Linked DNA regions of Arabidopsis thaliana. The protein of the gene in region 1 interacts with the protein of each later gene in a pairwise test. Each region holds a gene or a part of one and is shown on either strand. Other genes may lie near its edges.

Evidence for each region.
Region 2: the proteins of UBQ7 (region 1) and AT2G17190 interact in binary tests that used the Arabidopsis thaliana proteins (3 or more experiments, as listed by UniProt).
Region 3: the proteins of UBQ7 (region 1) and AT1G68185 interact in a two-hybrid assay, tested with the Arabidopsis thaliana proteins (one study listed by BioGRID).

The regions. Positions count from the first base shown.
Region 1 is NC_003071.7:14,978,649-14,983,351, reverse strand, and holds UBQ7 (ubiquitin 7), read right to left. Parts: upstream 2,462-4,703; 5' UTR 2,309-2,461; coding exon 2,216-2,308; intron 1,961-2,215; coding exon 1,701-1,960; intron 1,521-1,700; coding exon 1,409-1,520; 3' UTR 852-1,408; downstream 1-851. Other genes in the region: AT2G35640 (Homeodomain-like superfamily protein), read right to left, coding at 1-517; MOR1 (ARM repeat superfamily protein), read right to left, coding at 2,991-3,244, 3,326-3,512, 3,598-3,669, 3,772-3,984, 4,142-4,298, 4,419-4,516, 4,669-4,703. UniProt on the Arabidopsis thaliana protein: Ubiquitin exists either covalently attached to another protein, or free (unanchored).
Region 2 is NC_003071.7:7,476,909-7,483,490, reverse strand, and holds AT2G17190 (ubiquitin family protein), read left to right. Parts: upstream 1-1,800; 5' UTR 1,801-2,129; coding exon 2,130-2,358; intron 2,359-2,735; coding exon 2,736-3,482; intron 3,483-3,777; coding exon 3,778-3,980; intron 3,981-4,064; coding exon 4,065-4,178; intron 4,179-4,280; coding exon 4,281-4,336; intron 4,337-4,725; coding exon 4,726-4,754; intron 4,755-4,898; coding exon 4,899-4,988; intron 4,989-5,070; coding exon 5,071-5,219; 3' UTR 5,220-5,226; intron 5,227-5,334; 3' UTR 5,335-5,646; downstream 5,647-6,582. Other genes in the region: DSK2 (ubiquitin family protein), read left to right, coding at 1-33, 110-223, 404-456, 849-877, 1,050-1,133, 1,210-1,358; DAZ1 (C2H2-like zinc finger protein), read left to right, coding at 5,844-6,582. UniProt on the Arabidopsis thaliana protein: Binds and presumably selects ubiquitin-conjugates for destruction. Prefers multiubiquitin chains rather than single ubiquitins, with a binding affinity for 'Lys-48'-linked ubiquitin chains.
Region 3 is NC_003070.9:25,554,754-25,559,469, reverse strand, and holds AT1G68185 (Ubiquitin-like superfamily protein), read right to left. Parts: upstream 3,088-4,716; 5' UTR 3,067-3,087; coding exon 2,926-3,066; intron 2,812-2,925; coding exon 2,736-2,811; intron 2,648-2,735; coding exon 2,589-2,647; intron 2,395-2,588; coding exon 2,264-2,394; intron 2,128-2,263; coding exon 1,917-2,127; intron 1,465-1,916; coding exon 1,297-1,464; 3' UTR 1,290-1,296; exon of another isoform or gene 1,204-1,289; 3' UTR 937-1,203; downstream 1-936. Other genes in the region: BBX27 (B-box zinc finger family protein), read right to left, coding at 1-101, 179-250; AT1G68180 (RING/U-box superfamily protein), read right to left, coding at 3,845-3,867, 3,970-4,654.

The DNA of each region.
Region 1 (4,703 bases):
AACTTTGTTGGCAAACTCTTAGGATCTGGCCACCGTTACCGTTTCCTACGGCGGCGGCGGCGGAGGAGGAGGAAGGAAGAGTTTTTCTGTCAACAAGCTCAGACAACACGTCGTATATCTGAGGCAACATGTTACTCGGCAAGTTCTTCTCTTTCCTCTCAGTCTTGTCCATCTTCCAGTAAGAGGAAGAAGTGACGGTGTTAAAAGACGATTCTACCCTTGATCTCTCGTACTCTCTGATCTTCTTGTAATCCCTCATGAGATTGTCCCACTTATCGTTGCACTGATTCTGGTTGCGGTAACATCCTCTTCTCCAGCAATACTCCTCTATCCATTTCCACCGGAGCTCTGCTGGTTTGTTTCTGCCTTCAGGTTGTTTTTCCGATCGCCGTACACGCCTCTGGTCGTCCATCTTCTTGGCTTCTATGAGAACCAAAGTCTCACTCACTGTCCAATTCCCTTTTCTGCACTCTCTCATAACTATCTGTTCACCACTCGATGGATCAGCGTCAGCCATATATGTGTCTCTTTGGATTTACCAAGAGGTAGCCATACGTGTGTCTTTGAATCTTGAATTCATGAACTAGAGAGAGAAAGAAATAAGTGTTGGAGAAAGGGGAGAAGAAAGAGATGAGCCAAAGACCGGTCAAAGTCTTTTGTTTTCTAGTACTAAGATTGTCACCAAGTTCGAAAAGACAGTGATTCCAATAATGAGAAAATATGAAAAACAAAGCAAGTTTTTTTATTCTATGTTTCCTACTAAATTAAATAATTGAACACCTATCCTTTTTCTTTTCTTATCTATGTTTCACGTGATGAAAAAAAAAAATCTATGTTTCATGTCTCTAGTTTTTTTTACTTTATATGGGACAACTCTATGTGAATCTAAGGATCTCACTGAGTAACTGGTACAAGGATCTAACAGTGTTATTATAAAACTATGCCATTTGGTGACTAGGAGTCAACTTTTAGCAACGTATAACCCCGAGATTATCACAGAAGGCCATGCTCAGCAGTGGTCTTAGACTCTTAGTACTTGACATGGTCGTTATATTTAGTGGGAAGGCAGTTGACGCCATATTCAAGGTCTCTGGATAGACGAACGAGGGAGTCTCGGATCTAGATCTCACATGCAATCTGGACTTCTCTACTTAAACGAAATATGAATTGGTATGTGCCAGTGGAAAACTCGTTAGTCAGATAACGATTCCTACCTGATACGGCACTCGATAATTAACTCACAAAGTATCATATCAGAGAGACTGAAAAATACAAGTAATATGATCCAAACACACAAGCAGAGCATAATATTCCAATTTCCCATAGCAATTTTGGTGTGTCATGAATTCCACATAAGGAGGACAATAGTGAGGGAAAAGATGTTTGTTGAAAAGCTTATTTATTAAGATCAGAGAAGACCACCCCTAAGAGCAAGAACCAAATGAAGAACAGAGCCTCCCTCTATCGCATAATCTTTGGCCGTTTTGTCATCAGCAAGCTGTTTTCCGGCATATATGAGCCTGAGAATTCAGAGCGTACCACAGAGTTATATACTGCAAACAATGTTCAGGATGGGACTAACACATGCAATAAAAATACTGCAAACAATGTTCAGGATGGGACTCAATTGAGGCTTAAATGCACCAAGACAAACACAAACTCGTCAAGTCATAAGAGAAAAACGTAAGTTTTGTTTTTACCTTTGTTGAACAGGAGGGATGCCTTCTTTCTCTTCAACACGTTCTTTGATCCGATCAATAGTGTCGGTTGGTTCGATATCAATCTCGATTTCTTTTCCAGTGAGTGTCTTCACCTTGATCATGGTTCCACCTCTGAGCCTGAGGACAAGATGAAGAGTAGACTCTTTCTGGATGTTGTAATCAGCTAAGGTCCGGCCATCTTCCAATTGCTTACCAGCAAAAATCAGCCTCTGTTGATCAGGTGGTATGCCCTCTTTGTCCTGAAACCCCAAAATGATTTACCAAAGATTCGAACAAAAGCGAGCTCAGATAAAGATCGTTAAACAAACTATCAATCCTCACAAACACTTTTTAGCTATTCTCAAGTAAATCAAATCCATGTTCTTCAAGATTACTAGAGATTCCTACTCGAAACAATTCTTAATTATACAATTCAAGGTAAGAACAAGTAGAGATTCAGAGGAACTAAGGAATCGTTTGAGGGGATAAAGAAGAGAAGAAACCCTAAATTAAACCTGGATTTTGGCTTTAACATTGTCGATGGTGTCGCTGCTCTCAACTTCTAGGGTTATAGTTTTGCCGGTGAGGGTTTTGACGAAGATCTGCATTATCTCTTCTTCTCTCTCGGATTCTTAGGGGGGTCTGTGCGATGGGGAATAGTAATTAGTCTGTTTATATATATATATATATATAGGCACTGGTAAAGGTATGAGAGGGCCTCTGGGTCGGCGTTTAGACTACGCCAACTTTTTATTATTCTGACTTTTTAAACCCAATGTCTTCGGTCATATATTAATATCTCTTAAACCAGTTCCCGGTTTAAGTTAATTTCTACTTCAATTGGTTTGCAAATATACGACCTTTGGTTAGATGGAAGAACAAAATATTACTTCCGTTTCAACCCAAAAATTAAGAATTGTTAGAAATTTGAGAGTGGAGGGATTACACAAGATATGCCAACTACATCAGAATCATATCTAAACAGAGTCGAGAGAATATTCAGGTTTCTACTAGTGGTTGAAAAAAAGATGTAAACAAGCATAGAAAGAATAATATTTTGTCTCATATTAAAAAGAATCTGGCACACTCACCATCAGCTCCCAGACTCTCCCACCACTATACACACTAACTCCATTGAAATCTAGCCGCTTCACCATAAAATATTGCTCTCTCTTATATGTTTGTATATTAAAAGAAAAGTATTTTACTACTACATTAATTGGAGAGAAGTAACAAAAATGGCGAATTTGCTTATGTAACTTCAGACTCCAAAGCTTGGGGTCTCTAGTTCTACATATGTTCCAGTGATCCACCTTTGAGCCTCTCCATTCGGGCTTGAAGACCGGACAATGCTTTCTCATCCATTGGGAGAACCACTGGGTGTGTGTGGACTGTCTCTTGTCCCATTTGGCTCGGGGGAACGCTCTGTTGGTTCATTGATAAGTTATCGTTTGTTGGCATCAGCGGTTTGCTTACTGGCTCTGATGAAGCCAGTTGCATGTTCTTCATCCTTTCTCTGATTGCATCTAGCGTCCCTGTCATCACTGCCAAAGATGTTTGTTTTTAACAGATATATATAAACACCGCAAGGAAGGACAAAGAAGGATAAGGATCTAGGAAACTACCTCCAGGATTCATGTTACTGGCTCGGATGTCGTCTGTGTATAAATCAGATCTAGGGTTCATCAAAGGCTTCACATCTAAAGAGGACAAGGAAGGAATATCAGGAGATGGAAGAGCTAAGGACGAAGGGGGAGGAGTTGACAACGGTAGGCTTGAAGGTGTTCTTCCCGCAGCTGCATTCTTCTCAACCTACAGAACCGATTGCAAAACTTCAAGACAAAAAACTTGAGTTTTATCGAAATCATAGTAAAAAGCTAGGAGACTAGTTACAGACCTGTGCCAGACCATCTCTGATGTAAGTACGAAACGCTTCACTAGCATTTTGAAGTTGGGAAAATATATCAACCTACAAGCATTAAGATGAGGTTGTAAGTACATACAATTTGGCTCGTTTGTTCATGAAGAACAGGAAACATTGAGACTTGAAATACATAGTCATATCTATTACCTTTGGATATGACTTTGTGATGTGGTAGAGGTCGTAAAGACCAATTGTGGAAGTTTGTTTGTCACCTATTTTCTTAAAAATAGCCCCAAGCTCTTGCTTCAACTGAACATCGGCAGAATTTGCAGGAGGTGAAGGATTGTTGGCTGTTGAATCTGTCCAATGGGTTTGGCCCACAGGACCTGTTGCAGTTAACATTCTTGCTGCAGCTAAAGTCTGCAGGTATTTAAATAGTTACTACCAATGGCGTCTAAATTTCTCAAAACATAGTAAAACAGCAAATAGTTTGGATGCGCTCTTTGACCAAACCCTCAGCTTCAGCAAATTTGTCAAAATTTCTGGACATGAAGTTAGACGACTAAGGAGGTCTCACCTCAAGGTTTAGATCGATGTAAGCGAGAATGATGGGTTGTGGCCTCATGTCAATAGGGACAAGAGACAAGTGGCCCTTAATTGCGGCTCCGCGGAGCTTAACAAGTTCATGTAGAACAGTTTTCACCATCCTCAGAGGTTTATCATCTGCCCCAGCTCTTTTCATTGGAAAAAATACCAACCGAGAATGCATTAGTATTGCCAAGTACGAAAAATCTCCACATAATAAACAGACATAGATTTGCAAAATTTCTAAGAGTGCATTTAAAGAGATGTACCTCCTACGTATCTCTTCCATTCCCAGATCTTGCAGATATACATGGATACTCTGAAGAAGTCTATCAAGATCAACTTCATATATGGTGCTTTGGAGGAGCTTAACAAGGACAAGCAATTATCAGATATACAATACTAAACAATTTGACACTGTGATTGTAGCAAGTAGGAAAGGCAAGTGTTGCATAATAGACAGTAGGGCTGTACGTAACAACTACTTGAGTTATGTGAACAATGATTGTCCTAAAATACCTTTGTAAGTTTAATAAGGCATTTAACTACCAAAT
Region 2 (6,582 bases), 7.5 Mb from region 1:
AGCGTATTTTCCAATCCACAATACATGAATCAGGTAGGCCTAGAATGATCTGAACTTAAGAGCCTTTTACCATTGTGAACATATATTAATTGTTTTCCCTTGATTCCAGCTTATGAGTCTTAACCCACAACTCCGAAGCATGCTAGATTCGAATCCTCAGTTGAGGGAAATGATGCAGAACCCAGATTTCCTTCGTCAGTTTAGTTCTCCGGAGATGATGCAGGTTAGTTTGTCCCCTATTGTCTGTATGCATATGAATTTTTAACATGGTAGTCTCTCAAAAGAAACATTTCTTTGTATCTAAGCTATTTTCAAGTAAAGAAGTTTCTTTTCTTTTTTTTTTTTGGGACAAAGTAAAGAAGTTTCTTAAACCTAATGTTTTCTATTGTTTTTTGGTCTTCAGCAAATGATGACTCTACAGCAATCACTATCTCAGAATAGAAATACAGCCAGCCAGTAAGTTTTGTTAAAACCCTTCGTTGTTTGGATTTGCTTAAACAAAGTTGAGCATTTACATGTCCTTTACATATTGTTTTTTGGGTTGTTTAGTGTTTAGACAATGTTGTAACTAGCTAAAAAGATTGGTTGTGAACGATCTCTATAATAAGAAAAGGATTGAACCATGACTAATGCAGCAACTCTTGTATGATTTACTGGGCTGATCACTAGTAACATCTATCAAAGAGGCTATAAATAAAGCATTTTAATCGTTGGAATACACTTGAATAGGGCTCATAACATTTTGTTTGTTTTTGATTATGCCTTTTAGCATAAGCTATGTGTGTTAATCTCCATATTTTGATTTTCATCAATCCGCATTCATGTTCCCAAATCTATCTTCTCTGTAGGGATGCGGGGCAAACTGGTGCTGCCACAGGTACTCTTAAAGATATTATATGTATTTATTCTACAGTAGTATAAAGGGTTTAGTTATGTTACGTAGTATAGCAGCTACTCTTTAGTTCTCTTTGCTTTCATGTATGTTTTATTTTAGCAGATATTGTATCGTATACAAGTTAATAGTAGAATGACAATACTGATGGGGACAGGAAATAACGGGGGGCTGGATTTATTGATGAATATGTTTGGCAGTCTTGGTGCTGGCGGCCTGAGTGGCACGAACCAATCCAATGGTTAGAGACTACAAATTTTTTTTAGCTTACGCATCTGTTGTGATGGTTCCACTGAAACTTGTCTGTTTGATTCCAGTTCCTCCTGAAGAGCGGTACGCTACTCAATTGCAACAGTTGCAGGAAATGGGATTCTATGACAGAGCAGAGAACATTAGGGCGTTGCTTGCAACCAATGGTAACGTTAACGCTGCTGTAGAACGACTCTTGGGGAGTATCGGACAGTAGCATACAGGTTCATGAACTGATGTCTCTCCATCTGGCTTCTCAGTTATAGAATAAACAGCTTGAATGTGTGTTTTTCAGTAATGATATATTCATCGAATTCATAAAAATTTATATATGATAGGATCGTGAACTTTGTTGATAGAAAAGCCGCATCAATACGGTATTTGTTATCAGTGGTCACTCTTCGTCTTTAACTACCCTTAAACCTATATATCTTGGGTGTTTATCTTTGATAACTTATTTCAAGTTGTTACAACATACAACATCTGTAAATGTTTATAGACATCAAAGTGAAATTGAACCCATTAAATTTTTGGTTCCTTCTGATCCGGTTCAAAGGTTAAACCAAATTGCCCAAAGAGAGAAGTGGCATGTTGCAAAGGAATATCCAATTAGTTGATTCATCATCTTCAATTAGATTCAAGTTACAGCCAATTCCTTCCTGAACTATATACCAAATGCCTCAATTTAGACCCGACCCGGCCCAATCTTACCCAGTAAGAGTCGTCGATACGTTCTCTGAAGCGCAAGTCATTTCTGGATTCTCATTTAATTGGCCGTTCGGGGCCAAATAACTCTTTAATTTTCTGCAGTCTCATTTGTTATTCGACCAAAAATAATTTATATCCCTTTCCTCAAGAAATCTTCAGAACCGACTTATTAGAGCTTCGAGTCTCCTCAAATCTTCTTCTACGATTTTTTCTTCTAGGTTTAGAGCTTTTGATTCTCCGATCAATTTCGCGATTTGTTGAACTAGGATCTGAAATTAGAATGGGTGGTGAAGCAGATTCGAGGCAGCCGCTGACTGCTGAAGGCGTAGCTGTTGCCGTGAACGTCAGATGCTCCAATGGCACGAAATTTAGTGTGACGACGAGCCTCGATTCCACGGTGGAGTCTTTCAAAGAGTTAATTGCGCAGAACAGCGATGTGCCGGCAAATCAGCAGCGTTTGATTTACAAGGGACGTATCCTCAAAGACGATCAGACTCTCCTCAGCTATGGTAATTTTCTGATCATTTCGTGTTTCATTTCTGTTGTTCCGTTGCTTTAATTTGACTGAAAATCTCATAGGGTTTCTAGGGGGTTGGAACATTGGATTTATGTTAGGTTTTTACAGAAGCATGGATGATTTTATGAGTTTTGATGTATGCTTAATCCTTCTATGGGAAGAATAAGGAGATGTAGTTAGTGATACGATAATTGATTCATACCATTCTTAGAGTTCCTAATGTTCTCATGATCATGTATCTTCTTGGGATGTATATTTTCTCCATCAATGGCTGTTGTTGATATGATTGTGTTGGATAGTTTCCACGTTTTATTGTTTTGCATCATGAGCCTCAATGTTTCCTTTCTCTGTGGACCATTTTATATATAGGTTTGCAGGCTGATCACACCGTTCATATGGTTCGAGGTTTTGTGCCTTCTTCTCCTTCTGCTCCCGCTGCAAATGCTGGAAACCAAACCACTGCTCCTCAAGCGGTTGGTTCAAATGATAGCTCAAACCTCGGAGGAGGTGAATCTTTGTTCCCTGGCCTTGGATTTAATCCTTTGGGTGGTGGAAATGCTATGGCTGGATTATTTGGATCTGGTCTTCCTGATCTTGAGCAGGCACAGCAACAACTAGCTCAGAACCCTAACATGATTAGAGAGATGATGAATACTCCAGCCATCCAGAATCTTATGAACAACCCAGAATTTATGAGGAGTATGATTATGAATAACCCTCAAATGCGTGAGCTTGTAGATCGCAATCCTGAGCTTGGTCATGTGCTCAATGACCCAAGCATCCTTCGTCAAACTCTAGAAGCGGCGAGAAACCCAGAGCTTATGCGTGAAATGATGAGAAATACTGATAGGGCTATGAGTAATATTGAGTCTATGCCTGAGGGATTTAACATGCTTAGGCGTATGTATGAAAATGTCCAGGAACCGTTAATGAATGCTACCACTATGTCCGAGAATGCTGGAAACAATACGAGCTCTAATCCATTTGCTGCTCTTCTGGGAAACCAGGGGGTTACTACACAAGGAAGCGATACTTCTAATAATATTTCGGCACCGAATGCTGAAACGGGTACACCTAATGCAAATCCACTTCCTAATCCTTGGGGTGCCACGGCTGGTAAGAAACTGTATTCTCATCCTCTTAATTTCATATGGGATTTTACTTGTAGTTTAAGGTTGAAATATTAAATATAAAAGCAAGAGTGGCTTGTTTTTAAGAAGTGAAAGTTTATGTTTACCACACTGGTCAGGAATAGTATTGATTATAGTAATAATTGGTGAGTTCATGTTCTCACAGTTTGTTGTTATGACTAGTTTGTCTATGAATAAGTTTCTTGGCTGTTTGTTTCTAGTTTAACTGTTACTCGTAATGCACTAAAGATTTTAGAACATATTGTGGGGCTACTTGACAGGCCAGACAACTGCCCCTGGAAGGACAAATGCTGGACTTGGTGGTCTTGGTGGGCTTGGAGGCCTTGGTGGACTCGGTATGCTGGGAGCGGACTCACCTCTTGGTGCGACTCCAGATGCTTCTCAATTGAGCCAAATACTGCAAAACCCCGCTATGTCGCAGATGATGCAAAGCGTACTTTCCAATCCACAGTACATGAATCAGGTAGCGCCTTCAGTAATCTGAATTTTAGACATTGTAGCTATTGTGAGGCTGTCTTTAATATTTTAATATTTCCTTCATTTCCAGCTTATGAGTCTTAACCCACAACTCCGAAGCATGCTAGATATGAATCCTCAGTTGAGGGAAATGATGCAGAACCCTGATTTCCTTCGCCAGTTTAGCTCTCCCGAGATGATGCAGGTTAGTTGGGCCCATGTTGTCTCTCCAGATAATTATTTTTATATCATTCAGTAGTCAAATTTCTCCGACCTAATGTTTTCTATTGTTTTTTGGTCTTTTTAGCAAATGATGTCTCTACAACAATCACTTTTCTCTCAGAATAGGAACACGGCTGGCCAGTAAGTTTGGATACCCTTTTCTGTTTTCTTTAGTTGGAACATTAGTTGAGTAGGTAATGTCCTTTATATATCATAATAGGATTTTGGGTTGATCTGTGTTTAGAAAATAGTGTCACTAGCTAACCAGGTAATTCTCTCGGTGGTGAACTATCTTATATTAAGTAATAAATGGGTTGAATCATTAGTAATGCAGCAACTCTTGTATGTTTTACTGGGCTGATCATTAGTGACCTTTATCAACGGCTGTAAAGTATTTTAGTCCTTGAAATAAACTTGAATAGGAGCATAAAAATTTTCGTTCTTTTTTGGTTCTTTCCTTTAACATTTGATATCAGTGATCTTGATTTCCATCAACCTCTATTCATGTTCCCAATCCATCTTCTTTGTAGGGATCCTACGCAAACTGGTGCTGCGACAGGTACTATATTATCTGTAATTGAAGTATGAAGGCTTCAACTAGTTCACTTAGACAGTGTGCTTTTTTTTGTTCTTTTGCTTTACTTTAATCGTATATTCATTACGTTGCTTATTGAGTAAATCACTACTATGGAAATATTTATAGGGACAGCCAATAACGGAGGACTAGATTTATTGATGAATATGTTTGGCAGCCTTGGTGCTGGCGGCCTAAGTGGCACAAACCAACCCAATGGTTAGATTCACTAGGGGCTATACTTTGATTTCTTATATATCTATTGAGATGGTTCCACTGAAACATGTCTATTTGATTCCAGTTCCTCCTGAAGAGCGATTTGCGACTCAGTTGCAACAGTTGCAAGAAATGGGATTCTACGACAGAGCAGAGAACATAAGGGCTTTGCTTGCAACCAATGGTAACGTTAACGCTGCTGTAGAACGACTCTTGGGGAGTATTGGCCAGTAACATACAGGTTCGTGAACTGATATCACTCCACTCTGGCTTCTCAATTATAGAATAAACAATGTGTTTTCTTTCAGTAATCTAATTTATGGAATTCGTATAACTACATTTATGATAGGATCGCGAACTTGTGGATAGAAAAGCCGCTCATCGATACACTATTTGTTTTCAATGGTCATCTTCTTTCCTCTTTACCCAATCCCCACAACCTTTTTTACATACTTTGGGTCGTCTGTTATCTTTCAGATTCTATTTGAAGTTGTTACCTCGTACATCTGTAGAAGTTGATTTCGAAATGTGGAATGGTTACATTTACGTTTTCTTATCTCCATTTTACTTATTAAATATAGCTGTAGTGACGTTGATAATTTGTGATTGAGCGTTAAGTTTTTCATTCGAATAACAAAGATAAATACAATAATAATTGAAAGAAAAACAAAACTTATGAGGAAAACAAAAAAAGAAATGTAAATCCGACAAAACAGGGAGAAGTAACTGCTAAGAAACCGTCGATGAAAACTAACTTGTTCTTCTTCTACTTAACCAACCATAACTCCCACTCTTCTACTTTTTTTTTTCCTCTCTTTTAGTTTTTCTGTCTTCTCTCTAGTAAGAGACTCAATAATAATGTCGAACACTTCAAACTCCGATCCCAATTCCGATATCCCATTTGCTTCCTCCAATGTAACTCTTCCTAGTTACAATCAAAACCCAAGAAGAAAACGTACTAAACTCACCAACAACGAAGTCGGTTCTTCTTCGTCTTCTCCAAGGCCTAAACCGGTCACGCAACCGGACCCTGATGCTTCACAAATCGCACGACCATGTACTGAATGTGGTAAACAATTCGGGTCACTGAAGGCACTCTTTGGACACATGAGATGTCACCCTGAACGTCAGTGGCGTGGCATCAACCCTCCTTCTAACTTCAAACGTAGGATCAACTCAAACGCTGCGTCATCATCCTCGAGTTGGGATCCATCTGAGGAAGAGCATAACATAGCCTCCTGTTTACTAATGATGGCTAATGGTGATGTCCCAACCCGTTCAAGTGAAGTTGAGGAACGGTTTGAGTGTGATGGTTGTAAGAAAGTGTTTGGGTCACATCAAGCGTTAGGCGGACATAGAGCAACACATAAAGACGTCAAAGGATGTTTCGCCAATAAAAACATAACCGAAGATCCTCCTCCTCCACCTCCTCAAGAGATCGTTGATCAAGATAAGGGCAAGAGTGTGAAGTTGGTCTCGGGGATGAATCATCGATGTAACATCTGTTCTAGAGTGTTCTCCAGTGGTCAAGCGTTAGGAGGTCACATGAGATGTCATTGGGAGAAAGATCAGGAAGAGAACCAAGTCAGGGGCATTG
Region 3 (4,716 bases), on another chromosome or scaffold:
TCAGCTATACAATAAACCACTGCTCTATACGCTTTACAAAACTCACATACTCTTTCCATATTCTCAATTATTATTATACATAACATATAAAAGATTCCTCCCTGTTACATCAAAAAAAATATCAAATTAGTTTATTAGAGATCACAGATCGAACAAAAAGAGAAGAATAAGTTTTTACCGATAAGAGAACTAAAAAGATCAGAGATTGGTGACAAAAGCTTCTTCTGTCTGTTTTTAGGAGCTTTTTCATATTATCTGAACAAATCCGTCGGTTTGGTTAGGATGACGTGGCAAAGCCACGTAGATATTTGGGTGGGGACTTAGAAAAAATGGTGATTACGTTATCCGTATGCACGTGAGATATGGGGAAGCCACGGACGTATGTGCCACTGTGACAGCTTCTTCTTTCACGACCCATCATCTCTAACTCTTAAAGCTTAGCTTTTCCTAACCAATTATTGTATGCCACATGTCGTAGCTAACTCCGGACCAAACAAAAACTACAATTATCCGACTTGGTTAGTTCGTTAATTGGTTTTATTATTTTTCACATGAACTAAAACACATAAATAGTACTTGAATGTGTTAATTCTTATAATTTTACATTTTTAAGAATTTTATTAATGACTAATGTGATGTTTTCTTTTCTATCAAGATTATATTAAAAGCTAATGTTACAAAACAAGAAATATTAGAGTCATGAGACTATATTTGAATATAAAAAATATCAGTGTAAAACGACATTTACTAAGAAACAAAGGAAAAAGTACACTAAACCGAATTTAACCGATTTACCATTGATTCCAGTTTTTGTCAGTTAGTAAAAAGCAATACTGATTATACATACAATAGTTTTAGTTTTGTCTTAGATTAGTGAGATATATATTTATGTTTCTCAAGAGATAGAGAAAGCATAACGATTAAAACCAAACAAAAGTTTAGTTAGATTTTTAGATTGGATTCAATAGGATTAGTTAAAATCAAAATGGTTTGGTTTACCTTATATATTATACACGCCTAATAAAGAGTGACAGAAAGAGTGAAAGAAAGAAAGAAACAAAATTCCGATAAAATGAGAAAGGTCACAGATACAAACACCAGATGTTAGCAGAGAGATCCCTTCCCATGCCCATGTTGATGTACAAAACTCTGGTTTTTCGCAAAAGATGGAACAGATTTGACATTCCAGATTCCGATTAGCGCCTGACTTGAATTCAATCGAAGATAATGAGTTATCATCATATCACAATAAGAGCAAGAAGAAAGATGTGGAGGACTTCATAAGTTACCTATTTGTCAAGTTTTTTTGGTGTGCACTTCAATCATATCATGATCCTCCATGCCAAGTTCAGAAGGAGTGGTTGATGGATCAATCTTATCACCGTCAAAAATAAATACAAGATTTTGCGGGTCAAGCTTAGCTTTATCTGTATACAGTTTGATAACCCTCTCAAATTTCTCGTCCTACAAGAAAATGGTAAATACCAAATCAACATTCTCATATTTTACAAGCTTTAACAGAATATGCATATCTATTAATGAGCGGCTCATTGTATGACAGAGAGCAAGCAATATGTATTCTGTGTGTAAATGCTATGTGGTGATGATACATTGATAAGAACATGAACTCGTTCTCTAGTTTATTAGATGAACTCAAAGAATAGTTTAAAGATCCATCAACTAATACACGTCTCAAATACTCGACCCCATTCAATGATTTCTTTAATCCCTGTATTTATACTCTTGCTTTCCTAGAAAGCTCGAAATATCTAGCTATCTAGATAGTAGCGAAGGTGACATAACAACTAATTCTTATCTCTACTAAATATCTAGTATCTAGCTAGAAAAAGTTTGGATAGTAAGCTTATTGTCGATGGAAGGTTGGATAGTAAGTGGCAAGCAGTGAAAAAACTTACCGCAAACACCCGGAGTGTCTTCTGTCCATCTTTGTCCTGTATTGTAATAACAATCTTGGCCCTGTCATTCGTAGGCTCTGATGGTAACTGAGCAGCAGTCTCTGAAGATGGATTGCGAGATTCTTCAACTTCCCTTTTAGCAGACTCCTCAACTTCCTGCATCACATCTCCTACAGTTTTTGTAAATGACATGAGCTCCATCTTCTTCGACCTACGTTACATATTTCATTTATAATCAAATTGTAACACTGGGACTCTTTCCGGATAGCAAATAACACTACCATAGCCTCTAACAGCAACATGGGAAGCTTAGAGATGAGAAATACTCAAAGACATACAAAAGTTACCTCAATGCTTTAATAGTTGAATCTTCAACAGAGTCTTTACTTTTGTCGAAGATAACCTTTGGTGGAGGAAGCAACCAATCGTCATCACCCGTAACTTCAATCACTTTCACATCATCATCTAACTTCTCAACCTATATAAAAAGATTCAAGTTCCAAAAGGAATGATGATAGATTCAACCTATGAATTGTGAAGTACATAATCGAATTGTTCCTTCACTGACATTGATTCAAAACTCTTTACAAGCCCACAATACCAAAAGTATCTATCAAGTTAACACAAAGAGCTCAATGAGACAACAACCAATCAATAAAAATCAATTCTTACTGTTTGTGAAGTTTTCGCTTTCTTCGGAATTGGCGTCACCGAGGCATCATCATCATCATCTACAAAAATTCAAGCGATAATAAAGGATTCATCTTTATCACTGTCGAGTGTCGAGCTCAGTGACCAAATCAAATAATCGAAACTCACCATCGATACAAACGAAATTCGCTGGCTGAACACGACGATAATCAAAAAGTGGCTCTAGATCTTCTCCTTCACCTCCCTGATCATCAATCAGTAATACAAATTCAGAAAAACTCAGGCATCAACACAATCCCACAACAGACAAAATTAGGGTTTTAAAAATTGGGGTATTGGGAATTCATAAAATTCTCACCATTGTTAGCGAATTTGGATCTTCTTCGTCTGTTTTATCAGAAACCCTAGATGAATTTGGACAGATTTTGAATTTGAATATTATTTTGCTGTGATTTTTGAAAAGACAAAAGTGATTTTGAATTTTGATGAAGAGAGGCATCGGCGATTAAGAAGCACCTCTTGGGTTTATTATTTGTTTGTTGGGCCTGTTTAGTGGGCCGAGTTTTCATTGGTTATCACACTTTTTTTTCAGATTGGTTTAATTGGGTTGGGTGACCATCATAGTTGATTGCGTATTTGTCATTTGAGATCTGTTGTACTTTAGTAGAATTTTGTTGGTATTTTTGAATGCATGACAATAAAAGATGGTACAACAAGACTCATCCTAAGTCTTTAGTAGAGAAGTCCATGGGAAGCTCTACATGAAGGTTATAGTAAACCAAACCGAGAAGGCACAAACTCGGCTTTACAAAATCAGGCCAAAAATAAGATAACCGGCAAATAAAAAGGGTTGGTGAGGCTATTCAAACCATACCTAAGTAAATTGTGTTCGATGATCACGAGAGAGAAAGAAACAAAGAAAGGGAGACAAAGCGTTTTCAGAGACTATGAGAGATCATGGAACCCTAGCTAGTAGAGTAGAGGACTAACCTTATTACCAAGATTTTTTATTTACATGTTGTTACAACTTACAAATGAATAAAAGATAATTAATGCAAATATAGTCTTGTTAATGCCAAAGTTTTGTTTCATGAAATAAACACGCTTCTAGCCTTTCATGATCACCCTCTTTGTCTCTTTATGTAGTTTTTTTTTGTCGTTTCTTATTGATGTGTGTTTCTTCTCCTCTCTCTCATAAGTCATAATACACTTAATATGTAGTCAATAATATTCCTAGTTTCATACATTCTTGTTTGCAATTCTTTAATTTTTTTTTGTCAAGAGTTTGTTATTCTTATATCTGCGAAATTGTATATATTTTTAAGAGTTAAATATCATAGTCAAAACCCGTATAAGCATAATAGAAAAGCCATGAAAGCTATATCGGGAGGTGGAATCTTACCTATGAGATTATGTACCCAATCAATCATCATTCGGAGAGGCCACAAAGAACAAACCCGAGTCCGAAACCGATTTGATCGATCATTGTCGATGTTGTAAGACCCTCCTTCGTCTACGTTACTCTCGGAAACACCTAAGTTAACCTCAAAACGACAAATGGGACAAGTGTTGTGAATGTTCAACCAAGACACAATGCAGCTTGAATGGTACAAATGCAAGCATTTCAATTCTTTTCCTTCCTCTCCAACTTCAAATTCCTCCTTGCATATCGCACAAACCTTCTCTTTCACCAAATCTTCATCCGTGATTATCACCGTCCTTACAGCCTCGATGGCGGATTGCGAGGCTGGTGGTGGACCGATTTGTACACTAGGCATGACATCAGCGAATTCCTCGTCAGTATTATAAACTAGATCATCATGATTGAACCGGTTACTTCTTGGTTCGTTGATAAGATGGAGAGTGATCCAATCGGTATCACTATCCCAATAAGGTCGGCTTGGCCTCATAATGTCAAGCTCATCGTGAAGATTGATCTCTCTAGAACAGAAAGGACATATGGGACCATATAGACCAAAGCTTCTTAGCCTAATGGTACGGCTACAATGGCGACAATAGAAGTAATGGAACGTTCTTGTTCTTCTTGTTCCATTCACAATAACTCTTGGACGATAAGCAGATGTCATGTTTTCAATCTTTTTATTTTTTCGTCGGTAGGATCTTTATATATGCATTTATAATTAAATAC